Danio rerio: one gene and its partners. The protein of the gene in region 2 binds, or shares a complex with, the protein of the main gene of each other region. Links are inferred from orthologs where the notes say so. Each region holds a gene or a part of one and is shown on either strand. Other genes may lie near its edges.

What was found. The genes of interacting proteins can lie anywhere in the genome.
Region 1: wdr5 (region 2) and tada2a share a complex: the UniProt entries of both Homo sapiens proteins name them as parts of the ADA2A-containing complex. The link is inferred for Danio rerio from reciprocal best matches to the Homo sapiens genes WDR5 and TADA2A.
Region 3: wdr5 (region 2) and kansl2 share a complex: the UniProt entries of both Homo sapiens proteins name them as parts of the NSL complex. The link is inferred for Danio rerio from reciprocal best matches to the Homo sapiens genes WDR5 and KANSL2.
Region 4: wdr5 (region 2) and dr1 share a complex: the UniProt entries of both Homo sapiens proteins name them as parts of the ADA2A-containing complex. The link is inferred for Danio rerio from reciprocal best matches to the Homo sapiens genes WDR5 and DR1.

Annotation. Positions count from the first base shown.
Region 1 is NC_133190.1:18,239,828-18,244,495, forward strand, and holds part of tada2a (transcriptional adapter 2-alpha), read left to right. Parts: intron 1-1,625; coding exon 1,626-1,736; intron 1,737-2,029; coding exon 2,030-2,101; intron 2,102-4,504; coding exon 4,505-4,637; intron 4,638-4,668. UniProt on the Homo sapiens protein: Component of the ATAC complex, a complex with histone acetyltransferase activity on histones H3 and H4. Required for the function of some acidic activation domains, which activate transcription from a distant site. Binds double-stranded DNA.
Region 2 is NC_133196.1:19,694,422-19,698,840, forward strand, and holds the end of wdr5 (WD repeat-containing protein 5), read left to right. Parts: intron 1-1,702; coding exon 1,703-1,803; 3' UTR 1,804-3,222; downstream 3,223-4,419.
Region 3 is NC_133198.1:27,545,641-27,549,491, forward strand, and holds the end of kansl2 (KAT8 regulatory NSL complex subunit 2), read left to right. Parts: coding exon 1-27; intron 28-106; coding exon 107-270; intron 271-601; coding exon 602-768; intron 769-1,499; coding exon 1,500-1,590; intron 1,591-2,519; exon of another isoform or gene 2,520-2,657; intron 2,658-2,755; coding exon 2,756-3,015; 3' UTR 3,016-3,056; downstream 3,057-3,851. UniProt on the Homo sapiens protein: Non-catalytic component of the NSL histone acetyltransferase complex, a multiprotein complex that mediates histone H4 acetylation at 'Lys-5'- and 'Lys-8' (H4K5ac and H4K8ac) at transcription start sites and promotes transcription initiation.
Region 4 is NC_133181.1:26,450,421-26,455,088, forward strand, and holds part of dr1 (protein Dr1), read right to left. Parts: intron 587-4,668; coding exon 423-586; intron 1-422. UniProt on the Homo sapiens protein: The association of the DR1/DRAP1 heterodimer with TBP results in a functional repression of both activated and basal transcription of class II genes.

The sequences.
Region 1 (4,668 bases), on a different chromosome or scaffold from region 2:
TTTAATACCAGTGGTAAATTAATACTTTTAAAACGATACCGGTGCCAAAACGGTGCCGAAACCGATACTTTTGAGCCTCAAAATGATGGTGGATGAAAAATCTTTGATGAGAAAAATCTTTTATTTGACAATGTTTTAATCATTTTAATAAACAATATAATTAAAGTTTAAATTAAGCATCAATTCATATTTTATATATTTGATTTGAATAGCATTAATATATATTTTGATCATTTGTTTGTTAGCATGAATATAAGATTTGCATTACCATCACATTAACTTACTATTTACCTGTGATAAGGCTGTAATCAAAATCAGGGAACACCTTTTTTTTTTAGGGTTGAGGCTTGTGACTATGTTTACATGGACATCAGTAAACTAATTATTTGCCTTTATCTGAATAAGACGATAATAAGATTAAGATGTTTACATGAGTTGGTTTTTGAATGTTCCTTTCATGATCCCATTTTACATGTCATAGCACAAGGATTGATTAACGTCATTGCATCACCAGTTTTTCACCATAGTTTTTCAACTGTACCTGCAGTTTGTCAGTTTCACTTTTATTTAGCAACATATTGTTCATGCCCCATAAAAAACTGAGGTATCGGAGGCGAATATGAAGTAAGGACTGCTGGAAGAGTGTAGTTTTAATGGATTTTGATACCGCACACCGAATGGGAAAAAAATAAAATTAAATTGTGACGCGGGTGTCTGTGTTCCTTTAGGGTTATCAAAAGTTTCTGTTTACATGGTGAACTCTTAATCAGAGTATTGTCTGAATCATATTAAAATCGGAGTATTGGTGTCCTTGTAAATGTACTTAGTAAAAGTGCCAGAAGATGTTGCAAGCTGCATTCCTCTGCCTTTAATTTCATTCGCTGTGTCCTCAAATGTTTCACGTGTTTCCCCTTACACGCACATTTATATATTAAACTAATTTATTGCATTCTGAAAATGTCAGAAACAAACACAACAAACTTGCCTAAAACTCAAAATGGCATACAGCAACAAAAGGCAAACTGTTAGGAGGATCAGTTACTGAAATGCTTCATTGGTTGCTGAATGATGTTTTTAACTAGTCATGCAGTTTACACAACAATCCATATTCTAGTGCGCAAATTTAAAAGTGAACGTAAAATGCATGAGTCAACAGATTTGTCTGTATTTTCAATTTTGTCTCCTTTTTGTGGCGATCAAAATGTATCTATTAGGCAATCTAATAAGCAGCTAAACGCCACTTGCCTTTGACAGCAAAAGCCACTATATCCCGAGAACCAATCAGAAGGTGCGAATCCAATCCTGTTTTCAATGTAGCAGCGCACTGATACGCCGGCTTTATGAGGACTGTTTTTTTCCGCTTTCGATGTAGATTTTAAAGGGCACCTATGGTAAAAAAAAATCTACTTTTCAAGCTGTTTGGACAGATGTGTAAGTATAGTGTATAGACCGTCATATTGGGATGATATAAACACACACAGTCCTTTTTTTTTTTTCAATTTAACAACAAAAACGGTGGACCAATTGGAGCGGTTTCTTAGAGCGACCGCAACTTGCCGTAGGAGTGCGGTCCCCCCGCCCACCAATATTGATTGATTAATTCTGTGCATCTACTGTGTTGTCAGTTCTGGAGAGGCGTTATCCCAAGGAAGTGCAGGACCTTTATGATGTCATGAGACGCTTTGCGCGTGTGGTGGGACCAATAGAGCACGACAAGTTCATCGAGAGTCACACCTGTGAGTATTTAACCCTCTTTTCAACCACTCGATATAGAGAAATCCAGAACACTGCTGTTACCGGACTCGCTAGTTTACCAGACTTCAGCTGACCTGAGATCAATCTAGCCCTGTGTGTCTTTGTGGTTCAGTGAGTGTGTGCAGGACAGCTAGATTTAGACGAACAAGCCCTCATGTCATTCAGCAGCACTCAGTCTGAGTTCAGTCTGTCCGCCCCACTAGTCTGAATCAGCCAGGGTGAAAAGTTCAGCGCTCCATCTGCTCTGTTTCTCTCTGTCATCAACTGTTCACAGTGGAGTTTGAGCTGCGGAGGGAGATCCACAGACTGCAGGAGTACAGGAGCGAGGGAATACAGTCCTTCTGCGGTAAGATGCACCCTCAATCACAAGCATATCATAGGAGGTAACATAAATCAGAGTGCCACGGTGCTATTTTTAAGCTTTCAAAATTAGGTTTTTCATTCACTAAGGAGAAAAATCACTTTCGTTTTATCATTATATACACTCACCGGCCGCTTTATTGGGTACATATAAAATGTATTAGTATCGGGTTGGACCCCCTTTTGCCTACAGAACTGCCTTAATCCTTCATGGAATAGGTTCAACAAGGTACTTAAAATATCTCTTAGAGAATGTGGTCTTTATTGACATGATAGCATCGCGCAGGTGCTGAAGATTTGTCACTGATGCGAATTTCCCATTCCACCACATCCCAAAAGGCTCCATTAGATTGAGGTCTGGTGACTGTGGAGGACAATGTGAACTCATTGTCATGTTCAAGAAACCAGTCTGAGATGACTCACGCTTTATGACATGGTGCATTATCCTGCTGGAAGTAGCCATCAGAAGAGGGGTACACTGTGGTCATAAAGGGATGAACATGGCCTGCAACAATACTCGGGTTGGCTGTGGCGTTGACACAATGCTCAATTGGTACTGGTGTGCCCAAAGTGTGCCAAGAAAATATCCCCCACATCATTACACCACCACCAGCAGCCTGAACCATTGATACAAGGCAGAATGGATCTATGCTTTCATGTTGTTGACGCCAATTTCTGACCCTACCATTCAAATATCCTCCGATGGTTGTGCTTGAAAATCCCAGGAGATCAACAGTTTCTGAAATACTCAGACTAGCTCATCTGGCACCAACAACCATGCTACATTCACAGTCACTTAATTTTTTTTCCCCCATTCTGTTGCTTAGTTTGAACTGCAGCAGATCGTCTTGACCATGTCTACATGCCTAAATACGTTGAGTTGCTGCCATGTGATTGGCTAATTTAAAATTATGGGTTAACGTACAGTTGAACAGGTATACCTAATAAAGTGGTCGGTATGTTGTAGTCTCAGCTCATTTCACACAGTTAATAAAATAGATGGTTCATTAATGCAGTTTTTTTAAACCCCCTTTGTTATGTTCTGATTGGTCAGATGTCATGAAAAGTCATAAGTACGGGATACTACACACCATGCACTTACTCACTGTGTACTTATGTACTTACACACATAGTGTATGAATTTAGTGCCAGTATTTTACTAACCAGAAATTCAAACCGTTTCCCAAATGACATTTGACGGTTGCCAACTTAGTAATGACCAAATAGTACCTGTCATGAGTATAACCACATTCACCAATGGTGAACACATTGGAGCACTTTTTTGACAGTGGTTCCTTTCAATATAATCCAGAATTCAGAACAGTACAAGGTAAAAAAAAAGTTAATAAATGTGAAAATATACACAGCTATAAAGTATATAGAGTTATTAAATGATACGCAAAGTCTTATAATTAATTATAAACAATATGTGACTAGTATTGAGTTGAGAAAGTAACATTCAAGTTGTCAGAAAATTCTTAAATGTGCCATAGAATGACATTTTGGATATACCTAGGCATAGCTGAATAATAAGAGTTCATGGAAATTACATATCATGAGCCTCAAATATCAATGTGTTATTGTTCTCCAACAAATCCTGTGAGTGCAAAATCCCAGTGAAAATCCGGCCAATTGGAACAAAACACAAACTCTGACAATCCACACAGAATCAATTAAATGAACGCCCCAGGCAGTGTTTGATTGGCCACAACGTTTTCTAGTGAGATTACATCAATTATTATTTTCCCCTTATTTTTAACTTTATATAAGCTTGTATTAAACATACTATGCATGTGGGTCTCTTGTTTTGAAAATAGGAACAGGCAGGGAGATTAAAAAAGGAACAGTTTAGTGAAGTAGGCAGCTATGCATGACCACTAAGTGCTCACAACTTGTCAGAAAGCAAAATGCAGGATATACGGATTAAAAACGTATTCAGCACCACCTTGAAGAGGCATAAGGTCTGTTTAACTCCTCTCTTTTGTTAGTTTAAAGTATATAATTCGCTGTGTATATTTGTGATGAGGCAACAAACACACGTATACTGAGTAAAAGTGCTTAAAGATTGTTTCTGGAGATTTATTTTTTTGCTTACCTGAGCCACAAACCTGTTATTTAGATATCAGTGAACAATTTTCACTCCTTTACATTTTTACAAATGTTTAGAAAAGATCAACTTAAAATTTTTTGTGGATGGTAATTCCAAATCATGTAGAGGCAGTTTAAATTAGAACACAGTCAACAAGTGATGATTTAAGCAGAATCAAGCACTATCTCATCTGAATATGGTCCATACGCTCTGACCACAGCTTTTTGATAATGCTAGCCAGATCTCACATACAGAGATCTATGTTCATATCTGAAGTGACACCTGTCATCTGGTCTGCAGGTGCTAAAGTCTATGAGCGAGTGAAACGCACACGAGAGGATGAGCGCAGGAAGAGGAACATGCTTTGTGACGTCCTGCAGTACATTCATGACACCCGCGCCTGCCAGCAGTGGCTGCACAAACAAGCTGCCATGTAAGATCTCTTCCTCACTCACTCACAATAC
Region 2 (4,419 bases):
CATTTACATCGGATCTTTCAGTCTGTAATATTCTATTGATATTAACTAACTGTAAACTTAGTAACTAAATCATTTTGACTAAGGTATGTCTCTAAAAACTGAAAGAGTACAAATCTGTAGAGACAAGACAATCAACACCAACTGGAGCCGCATCTTTTTTAAAAGGATACAAGTGGCAAATCCAGATTTCCCCATTTCCTTATGCGAAAAGCTTTCAGGTAAAAAATGTTCCTTACAAATATATTTCTGTCGCATGAATTGTAAACCACAAGTGAGTCCAGCTGCACTCTCATAGCACGAAATTGAAACAAAACCTTTGTTGCAGCACATTTCTAAAAAAAAGCACTGACAACCCATGTCTCCAAACAATTCTTGTTTTTCCATTTTTTTGGCAACACAACGTGGTGTCTCTCTGCAGTCTGAACATTCTATTAGGTAAAAACAGTCTTCGAAGCTATCGTGCATATTAATTAAGTTGCACCTCATTCACAATAGAGCGCGCTAATTGGTTTGAACCAAGTCTTTCTCATGAATTAATGCTGCACATTCGGACTCGGATGTATTTGCCAGTACAGACATCCACTCTCCATGCTGGATTACACATAAGGATCTAATTGCCATGACGTAGCTTCAAAAATTAGTTTCAAATCTGAGAAAACAAATTTGCTTAAAATAAAGCAAAAACAACCATCACTTTTTTTTTGTGAAATATGTGTCTATAGTGTTTATTAGAACACATATATGACTGTCAACATAACAAAAAATGTGTTTTGGTGTTTCATGAACCTTTAACTTTAAGGTCCAATTCTACCCTTTAGCCCTTTCTATTACTCAAGTCTCTTTAGCTTGAAGGCATAGGGATAAGGGCAAGGGGTAGATGCCCCTTCGAATGGAAATTTTTTTTAGGACCAAACTCGAAACTAAGGGGAAGAAAATTTCCCAGAATACACCAGCCACAACGGCAGTATAGCTGCACCCGGAAGTAAAGAGATCCACAAATTAGTATTAGTAATTTATTGTCGTTATTTTTAACTTTTACAACAAACAAGCACAGGTTTTAATATATTCATAACTGTGTTTTTTTTCTCTCTCTTTTTTTTAAAAGCTAAAATAAAAAACGCTAAATTTCGCTATCTATAATAACTCCTGTATAGCAGTCCCACAACATTCTGACACTCGAATACCCTGTCAGAAGAGTCTAGTGGCTAGGAATGACCGTTTTACAGTGTCTGCTATAATGTTAATGTTGTTTTTGGTGTGTTTACATTGATGAACATGGCCAGGGTGTAAATGCACAGTACTGTTACGATTTTATTGCCACATTAGATCGTTATGATAACATAATATATACCTTCAGTGATTTCCTGAAGATAAATACCAAAAAAATAAAGCAACTAGAATCATTACAGCAGTCACGATTGAAGCATGAGATCGCGACGACATATGATGATGTGTACAGGTGCTGTAGTGCCGTCCCATTTCTTAGGGGTAAATTTTGAAGCCCTTTCTCTTCACACTTTATTTCAGGGGGCCAAGGGGAAGGGGTACAAAAATAGGATTGGGTCTAAGTACTTATTTTGCTTATGTAGATTTATTGGATTTCAATTATATATCTAATAAAAATCCAATAAATCGAGAAATTTTCGAGTGATGTTTTTTCACAGCTGTATATATATTAATGGGTATGTTTTGTTGTTTGCAGATGTGGTGATCTCAACCGCTTGTCACCCCACAGAAAACATCATTGCATCAGCAGCACTAGAAAACGACAAAACCATCAAACTTTGGAAAAGCGACTGCTAAGCCTGAAGCGTAATTTACTTTAATATTTTGTTCTTTTTTTAATTTTGTACTATTCATTTGGTGGGGGGGAGAGACTCGTTTTTCATTTGAGAAGTCATGCTAGGCAAGAAGACTGATGAAAGCGCCCTTCCCCAACACACCCTGTCCTAACACGGTGCCCTCTCTGTGCACTAAAACTATCACTTTCCCTCTGCCTTGCCGACAGCTTTTTCACCAGTTTAAGCGTCCAGCAAAACATTAAACCAGTCTGTAAATTTAGGCAGCTTTGTTTTAAACTCCACAAACCTATTAGGACAAAAAGTGTGTTCGTGTCTTTTTATTTCTGTAAGTTTTGTAGAAAAGACACTTGTGTCTCTATCAGTTGTTTGCACACTTTCTGAAGCCAGCAGAACGCCTTGGGCACATTTTAAGTGGCCATTTTAACAGAAATGTTTGAAGTATTACATTTCAATGCCTGCATTTCTAGGAGCGATTTGCAGCTTCACTCCATTATTTGGCTGAAAACATGTCTCTCAAACTGCTGTGAACGCCTCAAAGACTTACCTTGACGTGTACTGATGTCAAATCAAACCTCCCATGTATGAAATGTTATCTAAATGTTTTGAACATTCACTATTTCATGTTCATTTCTGTACAGCGCACAATTGCAGATGACAAAGCAGCAATTAAAACCATTCATTTGTGTAATAGTTGCTAAGCTAGTTGTTTATGGTTTTCAGTGGCTTTCAGTGGCTCAATGTGGTCTAGGCAGTGCTAACAATAAAACTACTCTTTCGTTATAAAGGCTTTTCGCAGATACACACATAATGTATGCCAAAAGTACACTTTATTGCTACACTTGTATTTACCTGTAACACCTGTTTATATAAGTTTTGGTGCTTTTGAAAAATAAAACTGTACAATACATCGGGATGGAGTAGCAGTTCGGTCAGAGCGTTCAGTGAAAATATTGGTTTAATGGAAGAAAAAAAATTATTACTGAACAATATGATAAAGGAAATATCCAGTTTTAATTAACTTATGCAAGGAGGAGTGTTGCTGGGAACTGAATATGCCATAATCCTATATCTTGTGACCAAAAGCAGTCTCGATGTATTTAGAGCCTTGAGATGTTTTCTGTACCTGACACACTTTGTACATACTTGCAGCTTCTCTGTTCAGTACGTTTACCTCTGTTCTGTGGTCTTATTAACCGTCTCAAGTAGCTGATAGTCCTTCGAGCGTGTTTTGTTTTTCCTGCTTGATGTGGATGATGGTTTGGCATAAACCCATCTTCTGCATTTGGACTCTGGTCTTTTGTTTTTGGTTGGATTTCCGGTGCACTGCAGTGATGACAAGGGCCGCATGAGGAATTGTATCTGTATTGCATTTAGTCACTTTGGACATGACCTGTGACTCAATAAAGATTTTTTTACCTGTGTCAGTGCAACATCATCCGTGCATTTAGAAAAATAGTTTTCATTCGATACATGTTGGAGACAATTATTGGTACCCCTTAATTCAGTAGTCACTTTCCAAGATAAAAGCTCAGACTTTTCTTTAATGCTTGACGAGTTTGGGAAAATTTGGAAAGAGGCCATTCTTCCATAAAGAAACGCAGGATCCCTCAAATTATCTGGTCCAGGGGTGTCCAAGCATGATCCTGTAGGGTTGGTGTCCTGCTGAAATTAGCTCCAACTTGCTTCAACGCACATGCTAGTATATTTAGTAAAAACTTGATGACCCCGTTCAGGTGTGTTTGATTTGGGTTGGAGCTAAAGTCTCCAAGACACCGGCCCTCCAGGACCATTACTGGATTTAGTCATTTGGGGCCCTAAACAATTCAAGCCTCGAGACCTGGAAGTCCTACAGTGTTATGTACACTTTGTATTTATTTATTTACTTAGTTGTCTTATCACTTGCTTTCACATGTTTATCTTAACACAATCTCTACATTTTAAAAGATTTGTTTACTAAAAATGAATTCCCAACTAGAAATAATGAATAAACGATTTGTTTTTAACACTAACTTTTCATCTGATTTGATTGATGGACTGATCTAGAAGATAAGGGGTAAGGGGGACACATTTGCACAGATGTACTATTCATTCATTCATATATTTTCTTTTTGACTTGTCCTTTTATTAATATGGGGTCGCCAGAGCGGAATGAACCGCCAACTTATCCAGCATATGTTTTACGCAGCAGATGCCCTTTGAATCTCCATCACTGGGAAACTGAATTGTCACTTCGGACAATTTAGCTTAACGAATTCACCTATACCGCATGTCTTGTGGGGGAAACCGGATCACCCGGAGGTTACCCACGTAAACATGGAACGTTCTATGTGCAAACACCGCAGAGAAATGCCAACTGATTCAGCCGAGGCTCGAACCAGCGACCTTCTTGCTGTGAGGTGAGAGGGCTACCCACTGTGCCACTGCGTCACCACAGATGTACTAATTAAGGTAAATTTATATTTGTTTGACCTTTATCTTATAAAATATGCTAGAAAATGTCATTATTAATTTACAGAAACTTCTAGGTATTTATTGTAGGCTGTGTACCTCACTCATTAAATACGCCCCAATTGTCAGAGACAAGTTGGACAACCCCTTACGGTCCATTTCAAAGCTT
Region 3 (3,851 bases), on a different chromosome or scaffold from region 2:
CGACAGTGACCACGAAGACCCTTTGAAGTGAGGAACTTTACAGTTTTTCAGTTTCGATAAATGTCAACTGAATCATCAATTTATTTAGTGTGGTTTGATTCTATAGGCATGCAGGGGTTTACACAGCAGAGGAAGTGGCACTCATCACACGTGAAAAGCTTATCAGACTTCAGTCCCTCTACATAGACCAATTTAAACGTCTGCAACACTTACTAAAAGAAAAGAAACGCCGTTACCTGCACAGCCGCAAGATTGAACATGAGACTATCGGTGAGACTGCTGTTGTTTGTGTGTATATATATATATGTGTGTGTGTGTGTGTGTTTATATATATATATATATATATATATATATATATATATATATATATAAACATATACATATATATAAACATATACATATATACATATATACATAAATATATATTTATATATATATATATATATATATATATATATATATATATATATATATATATATATATATATATATATATATATATGTGTGTGTGTTTATATTTATTTATTTATGTTTTTAGCCTACTACATATACATGCATGTATAAACACACAAACACACTCAGGTCTGTTTTTGTGATTCAGGGAGCAGCCTGTTAACTGGTCCAGAAGGGCTATCTATGAAGGAAAGGGAGAACTTAAAGAAGTTAAAGGCTTTGCGGCGTTATCGGCGTCGTTATGGTGTGGAGGCTTTGCTGCACCGTCAGCTCAGAGAACGAAGACAAGCAATCACTGAAGGAGGACCGACACAGGTATGGATGGACTTTAAACCATAATGCATCAATCTGATGTCAAAAATTAGAAGGGACTAAAGCAAATGTTGTGTCTTTGTTTTGCCTCTATTTGGGCCAAAAAGCTTTTCTTGAACACAACAGTAGCACTGCAGGTGATGATCACAGGTGCATCCTGTGTGAAAGGAAAAAAAAAAAACTTTCTTTGTCTGTATCAACGGATATCAATGAATAAAAAAAAAAGTGAAAGCAAAACAATGACTGCATATATAAAAAAGTAAACAAAGCAGTGTTCGTTTACCATTTTGAACATAGTCATCAGTTTTTTTCATTTCATGTGCTCATGCTATGATACTGATATATTGGAATGCATGGGGGGATAATGTAACATTAAAAGGGCCTTTTATCATTGGCATCTTATGTTTTGCTTGCATTACGTTTTATTGTTTTGTTCTAAAAAGCCATTCAGAGCGATCTGTGTCACCAATGGCCTTGAGGCTTATTCAACACGCCCAATGTTCAGCAACCTGAGCCTAACTAAAGCAGATTTGTAGACCACAGTGCAAAAACTAACTCAACAGATGGTCACTGACAGCTTAATGTGTCATGGCCATTGTGAATTTGAATGTTTAAAATAACCAATTTAAAGCTCCGCAATCTCATTTGAAAGACAACTGAATTCAATTGAATCGTCCTCACTTTTTATTGTTATTTTTAATGTCTTTAATGTCGTCATTTTTTTTTCTTCACAGGCAATGCGTTTAGGCCAGAGGTGCATTTCCTTTGTGGAAGGGACACGCTGTTCAAATCAGTGTCTGCCAATGACAAGACATTGTGTCTCTCGTATCCTTTATGTCTTGTGTTTCTCTGACTCTTATGTTCAGTTTTTTTTTCTGTTAAGTAGTAAAGTCTTTTCTGTTTAATTTTTGGGGTTGGTAACATTTCTTTGATGTTTAAGAAAAATCAAATGATAGCAAGGCTGTATTTATTTGCTTGAGAATAACAGCAATATATTTATCATGTAAATATGTATGCATCATTTTATAATATATTATGAAATGATGCATGCAAGTTTACATAATATTTTTTTCTAATATAATACACTTTAAAATATAATTTATTTCATAGACTGCATTATATATATATATAAGTATATATATATTATATATATAAGTATATATATATATATAGGGCCGTGTGATCAGCTGATGCTTTTACATTAGGCTCAATTACCTAATTACAGCAAAGTTCATTTGATTCCCTCCCTACCTGCCTCTCAAATTTGTACTCAGAAAAGTAGTTTATCAGCATGCTAAGACTGAGCAGCACACGTGTCTGTTCATAACGAGTTCAAATGAACTGTAATTTTTTCCACTTTTTTAGTTGTGCAGTAATTAGATAAACAGCACATCAGTTATTTGTGTCAGTAAGCAATTAAACTCACAAATACTAACCAATTTGACCATTTTGTACGTAATTAATAGCTTCTCACTTCCATGGTTTGGTGCTATATTAACTGTCCCAGAGATCTGTGAACTTTTCACCAGACCACCCTTTTCAGGTGGTCCTGCGCACACCAAGACCAGCTTATTTTACATTTTCACCAAACCACAAGCATTGCAAATTTGCACGATCCTGTGTTCTACACTATTTGAATTGCATCCAAGTGAATTAAATCTTGCATGCAAAAGTGCTTTTCTAGTACCATATCAGATCTGCATTTTTTATTTTTATCGCCAATGTGCACCTGTGCACCAGTTAGGTAGTATTTTGTAGCCCTGAATCAAGGCCCGCAGCTTGCTGTAGCTGTTGGTTTCAAACAGCGGCTGACACAAAACACTTCTTAAGGTCTGTTGACTTTCCCAAAATGATCTGATGGGTTAAGTCGATTTCATTTTGAAGGAACATTTTAAGTTCTCCACCTCTTCCCACCTTCCATATCTTTGACATTAAGACACTTTTTTTCCCCAGTGCTAGTTCTCCAAATCTCCTTAACACCCCACCACAGACATTTACCAAGACAGCAGCCAAGTTTTATTCAAGCTGTGCCCTGGTCTTAAGGACGTCCCATGCGATCGTCCTGTCCACATGGGACAGTCGGAGGAGCCCCGCTGTCCTCTACACCTGTCCCTGCCTCCACCCATGTACCAGCCCGAGCAGGAGTCTCTCGCCCCGGAGCAGCTGGCGTCTGCGCCCACAGACATGTACCTCAGTGCCGCCGAGCTCCAGCCAACAGAAAATCTACCTCTGGAATTCAGTGATGTATGATTTGTGTTGCTTTTTCTCATTAAAACAAGTCAATGTGTGCAGTCACTCTCCTCATGTGTTTTTGGCACATCCCTTCATAAGTTGGGTATCATCAGAATAATTAAATCGGCATCTGCACTAAATTTGTTCTCCAGAACACCTTGCTTCGCTGAGGTATCCATCATGTATCTACATGCCTGCAAACAGTGCTGCTCAAACACGTCCCCCGCTGTGTAAATCATATCCCATACTCTTACATGAATGAACAACAAATTAATCTGAATGTTCAACTGTCATCTTCCTCTAATTTTGTGTCTGACATTTTGTGTGTGCCCACAGTAAAAACCTCATTTAATCTCATTTTTGGAAACGTTTAATTTGCCTGTTATGCTGCATTGCATAATTTATTTATGTATTTTCCCCGATGCCTGTTTGCAAAACCAATTTTGATGTTTTACTGATTAATTGGGCTGGTTGTTAGACCAGTGTACTCAGTCAGTGAGTACGTATACATGGACGCTAATAATCAGATTTTAATATGATTAAGACAATACTCTGATTAAAAGTCTAACATGGAAAAAAGCAATTTTTGATCAACCTGATTAAGGTCATAATTGAGCTAAAGAAAAATCAGATTAAGACATGTTAAGTATGCCAATTTTAGTCGCATTATTGAAGTACAGTACAGACATGTAAAGACCTTAAACTTATCATGTAGGACTTTTCGTTAATCAAATTATGTGCTATAACATGTAAAACCAGATCATGAAAGGAACATGCAAAAAGCAACATGTGTAAACGCCTTAATCATATTATTGTCTTATTCAGATTAGGGCACTGTTAGAATACAATTTAGT
Region 4 (4,668 bases), on a different chromosome or scaffold from region 2:
AGGTGTCATCAAGCCTTTTTGATCCGTTATTCAGTAGTTCATAAATAAGACTGCAGAGCGCCGAGCACCAGGAAATTGTTTTTCCCGATCACAGTCCGATCTGTCAGCAAGCTCGTTAACTTTCAAATCGGGCTCAAATCAGGCTTAAAATCCTTTAGTGTGAACTAGGCTTAAGAGTCCATAAAAAATCTCCAGTAACACCAAAAAAAGTTGCTAGATTTTTTGTTAGTCGCTTTTTTTTTTTTTTGGAATATTTGCCGCTAAGGGGGTCTGAAAAGTCACTAAGTTGGCAACACTGGTGATTTAATGTAATTTGTGTACCTTTTTGCATTAAAAAAAAAAAAAAAAAAAAAACGAGAAGGCACCAACTGCTAAGCTAAGAGTGAAATCTTTAGAATTAACCATTCGGCATGCATTTTTACCTTAGCAAATAATTCCTGTTGTTGGCGGAGAAGTTCTTCCTCGGGAATGCCAAGGTTCTCTAGTCGAGAGCTGGCCTTTCTTCTTTTAAGTGCTACAGTTTTACACTCCTGCAGAACGTCTTTTACTTCTGCGATGTATGACCCAAATCCTAGACTTTCCAGTGCTTAAAAAAGAAGAACACATATAATGTTATTTAAGAAAAAAAGTATATTTAAGTGAAAAATTGTAACTACAGTGAAAATATTCACTGTAAATATTCACAAAAAATATTTTTCAGAACAGGAAAACAATTACATCCATCCATATGCTCCGTAGAAGCGAACTTCAAGGGATAGTTCACACAAAAATAAAAATAAAATTTGCTTAGTTAAAAGGCTGTTTCAATCCACCCTCTGTGATGTATATTATTTATTTTGGTAACAAGTAGCCACTGATATACATAGTAAGAAAATATAAATACTACGGAAACTAATGACTACCGGTTACCAACATTTTAAAAAATAGATTTTTGCATTCAGTTGACAAAACTAAAGGGTTTAGAATAAGTGAAAAATAACTTATTTTAGACTGAATATTGTAGACATTGATACAGTTGGTCAAAAATTTGAGATTCGAACTAAAGGCTTTGAGATTCAAACTAAAGGCTTTGATATACTTTAAGTGAAGTAAATTGAAAAACTGATGTGGCAAAAAATAAATCAGGTCAAAACAGAGTTTGTGTGGTATTTGCTTTATGAGGCCAAAGCAGCTTGTCATTGTAAACTTCCCAGAAGATTTGCTTCAGCTGGTAAACACCTTCCCAACAACATTTTCTCCGGCAGTTATGTAAATCTGCATGTAGTTTGACTAGGAAATTTGTTCTAGTTCATTTCCAAAAGTAGTAACAATCAATACAGAGATGCTTGTCAGTAGAATTTGATGTAAAATTATAATTAACAGCAAGACTGACAGTTTTCTCCATTCTATGCAGTTTTAATAGCAATCATCTGCATAACGTTCAATAAAAATAAGCATGACTTTACTGGCGTCCTCAAAATGAGTGCTAACAGCCACATTGTTTTGTTAAATGCTGATTTCTCACTTCATAATTTAAACAAACTGACCTAAATATTCTGTAATGTTCCGACAAAACACTGTTCAGGTGTTTATCAAATTTGTTTTACACAATTTTCTCACTTGTAGACCATGTGTATTGTTTGGGGGGAAAAGGGGTTACTGCTTTTACTATGTATCAATTTCTTCTAGGTTGAATTTGAAGATTAAGCTAATATCAGCTAGTCTAAATCAGTGTTTCTCAATGCCGTGCCCCACCAGTCCGAACATTTTGCATACTCTTATTTAACACACCTGATCTTGATAACCAGCTCGTTAAATAAGCTCCATGCATCAACCATGTTAGAATTAACAGGTCTCCACACAGTGTGCATTACTCCCTACTCGCTTTTTCTTCATTGAGCTCTACCTGAGCACAAAATACATTTATTTCACTTCGGAACACTCATTCACAGATTTGCACAATAGCATTGCCTAAATGCCTGCAGAGTCTTCTTACTTGAGATGTGACATGCCTACATAAATATATTGTACAATACATTTACATATCACACATTGAAACTTCCTTTGAATAAAATATATATGCTGTCTTCAAAAATAAAACATGGCATAATATCCTCTAAAGTCACTTTGCAGGGAACTTGTCAAATAAGAACAAGTGTCTGAAGTGAAAAGAAAACCATAAGAAACGTGCAGTTCAGTGGGCACAAGAAACAGGATTGTGAAATCAGTCCAGAGCTTCTTAATCTTGGCTCTGGAGGTGCAGTGTCCTGCAGATTTTAGCTCCAACCCAAATCTAATGGGGCTGGCTAATCAAGCTCTTAATAGGCTTTCTAGAAACATCCTTTTTTTGGAGCTAAAATCTGCAGGACACCGGATCTCCAAGATAGAGTATAAGAACCCCTGCGCTATTCTATATCAAAGTCCCTTTAAGTCAGGGGTGTCCAAACTCAATTCCTCGAGGGCCGCAGCTCTGCATCATTTAGCTCCAACCACTTCCAACTCACACCTGCTTAATAGTCTATAGTAGTCTTGAACACCTTGTTTATTTTAATCAGCTGTTTAATTAGGGTTGAAACAAAACTGTGCAAAGCTGTGGCCCTCCAGGAAACCAGTTTGAGACCTATTCTTCAAGGCAAGTCAGTTCACTCTGCAGCCATCTTTGAAACGCCTCTTGGGCACTATGCTCAGGCATTCTGTCTGAATATGGATACATCCAATTATAAAAAATTGCTTGCCAAGCTTAGGATTAAATTTCATATTAGGAATTACAATAAAATTAAACAATAACGGTGTCTTTAGTTTTAGTTCTAAAACGTTCTAATCACACAAAATCTTCAGAAACTCATGGCTGTTCCGAATCCCTCCCACAGAGGGAGTTAGTCTATAGTCTATAGCGATAGCTGATATAGAATAGCGATAGCTGATTGGCTCCTGTACTAGAAGGCAGGGCTTCATTCACCATGAAACTACACAAGTGACAGGTTGTGTAGTCTATAGTCTTTGTCTATATGCACATATCTTATCATACCCTTTAAGGCAGGGGTCTCAAACTCAATTTACCTGGGGGCCGCAGGAGGCAAAGTCTGGGTGAGGCTGGGCCGCATAAGGGATTTCACAAAAAAAGTCCTCAAATGTCATTATTAACAGTTTTAATTATTTCTTCTGAACATGAAGTGTCCTGGACATTAATAGAACATTGAGTGAAGATTATGAACAGTTCTTCTGAACATGGCATCTTTTGCCTACTTCTTGCGGCCAGAGACTTGACAGCGCTTATTCTCACAAATCTTATATATGTATATATGTGTATATATATATATGTATAAATAAAACACCCCCACCCCACTCCAGTCACATCAGTCTGTACCAGTCTGTATCTACCTATAATATATACAAGATGCAGGCTGTAGCTAGGTAGGTGGCAGGCTGCAGATAGGTAGCTAAGTGGCAGGCAGGGGCGGGAACAGCTTACCTTGGTTCTGGCCGGCACGAGTTCCCTCCCTGCCTGGTTTATACTTCTGCGTCAAGTGACCGGCGCAACTCACGGCGCAGGCAACGCGCGCAGCTGTGCATTTAAAGTATAAATGCGCAGAAGTATAAATGCACAGCTGCGCGCGTTGCCTGCGCCGTGAGTTGCGCCGGTCACTTGACGCAGAAGTATAAACCAGGCTTCTGCGCGCTGTCTCTGTTGGTCTGCATTAACACTTCCGAAACGCTAGTGGGCAGTGAGGTGTAAATGTTCCTCTGTGTCGAGTTTCTTCGCTTCTGTTTTGCTATTCTGAACACTTCCTGGATGTACAAGTGACTCAAACTCGCTCATTTTGAGGCAGGAACCGGCGGACGTGCAATAACTTTTACCATGAGGTAAACACAGAACAAAACTTTCCATCCGGAGCTCCTTCACAGGACTCCACACTTGTAAACAATCGCTCGCGCCATTCTCGCGGCTCTCGGTCCCGCCCAGACTCGTCGGCGCTAGCAAGCCGACCAATCACAGAGCTTGCGCTACGCGTCGTTACAACGTGTAGTTACAATTTTTGAGAGGTGCACGTCAGTGACGGCGACGGCCACGGCGAAGGGCTATGCGTCAGCGACGTAGCCTACGCCGGTGTTTGACTCAGAAGTAAAAATCAACACTTCCCGCCCGTCACAGCGTCTAACAAAGGGGCGGGGTGCGTGGTGACGTCACCAGCATCCCCGCCCCTTTGTTTACACGGCAGGCGGGGAATGCCAGTGACCGCTGTGTACGGATAGAATCAGCGGTCGGCGCGGGCCACAAAATATTGCACTGAGGGCCGCAAATGGCACGCGGGCCGCGAGTTTGAGACCCCTGTTTAAGGTGAATTGTTTTCTCACCACAAACCTAGGGCTTGGCGATAAAACCATATTTATTGTAATAATTTTTCCCTCTGTAAAACAACACGTTATAAATGTTTAACATAATAGTGGAATACATTAGCATATCATAACTGCATTGTTCCTTTGCACAACATAGATTGTTTATCCATTAGCACAAACAGCTGCTCGAGTTTGTTTGTATGTTCACATGCTAAAGGGTCTTGCTCATTAGGTTGGATGTTTGTCATCTTTGACAATAAAATTTAGTTTTACAATTTACTATTCTGGTTTTTGGAACTTTCTCCCAGAGGCTATAATCTGCACTTTAACTAAAGAAATAGACATTTTATT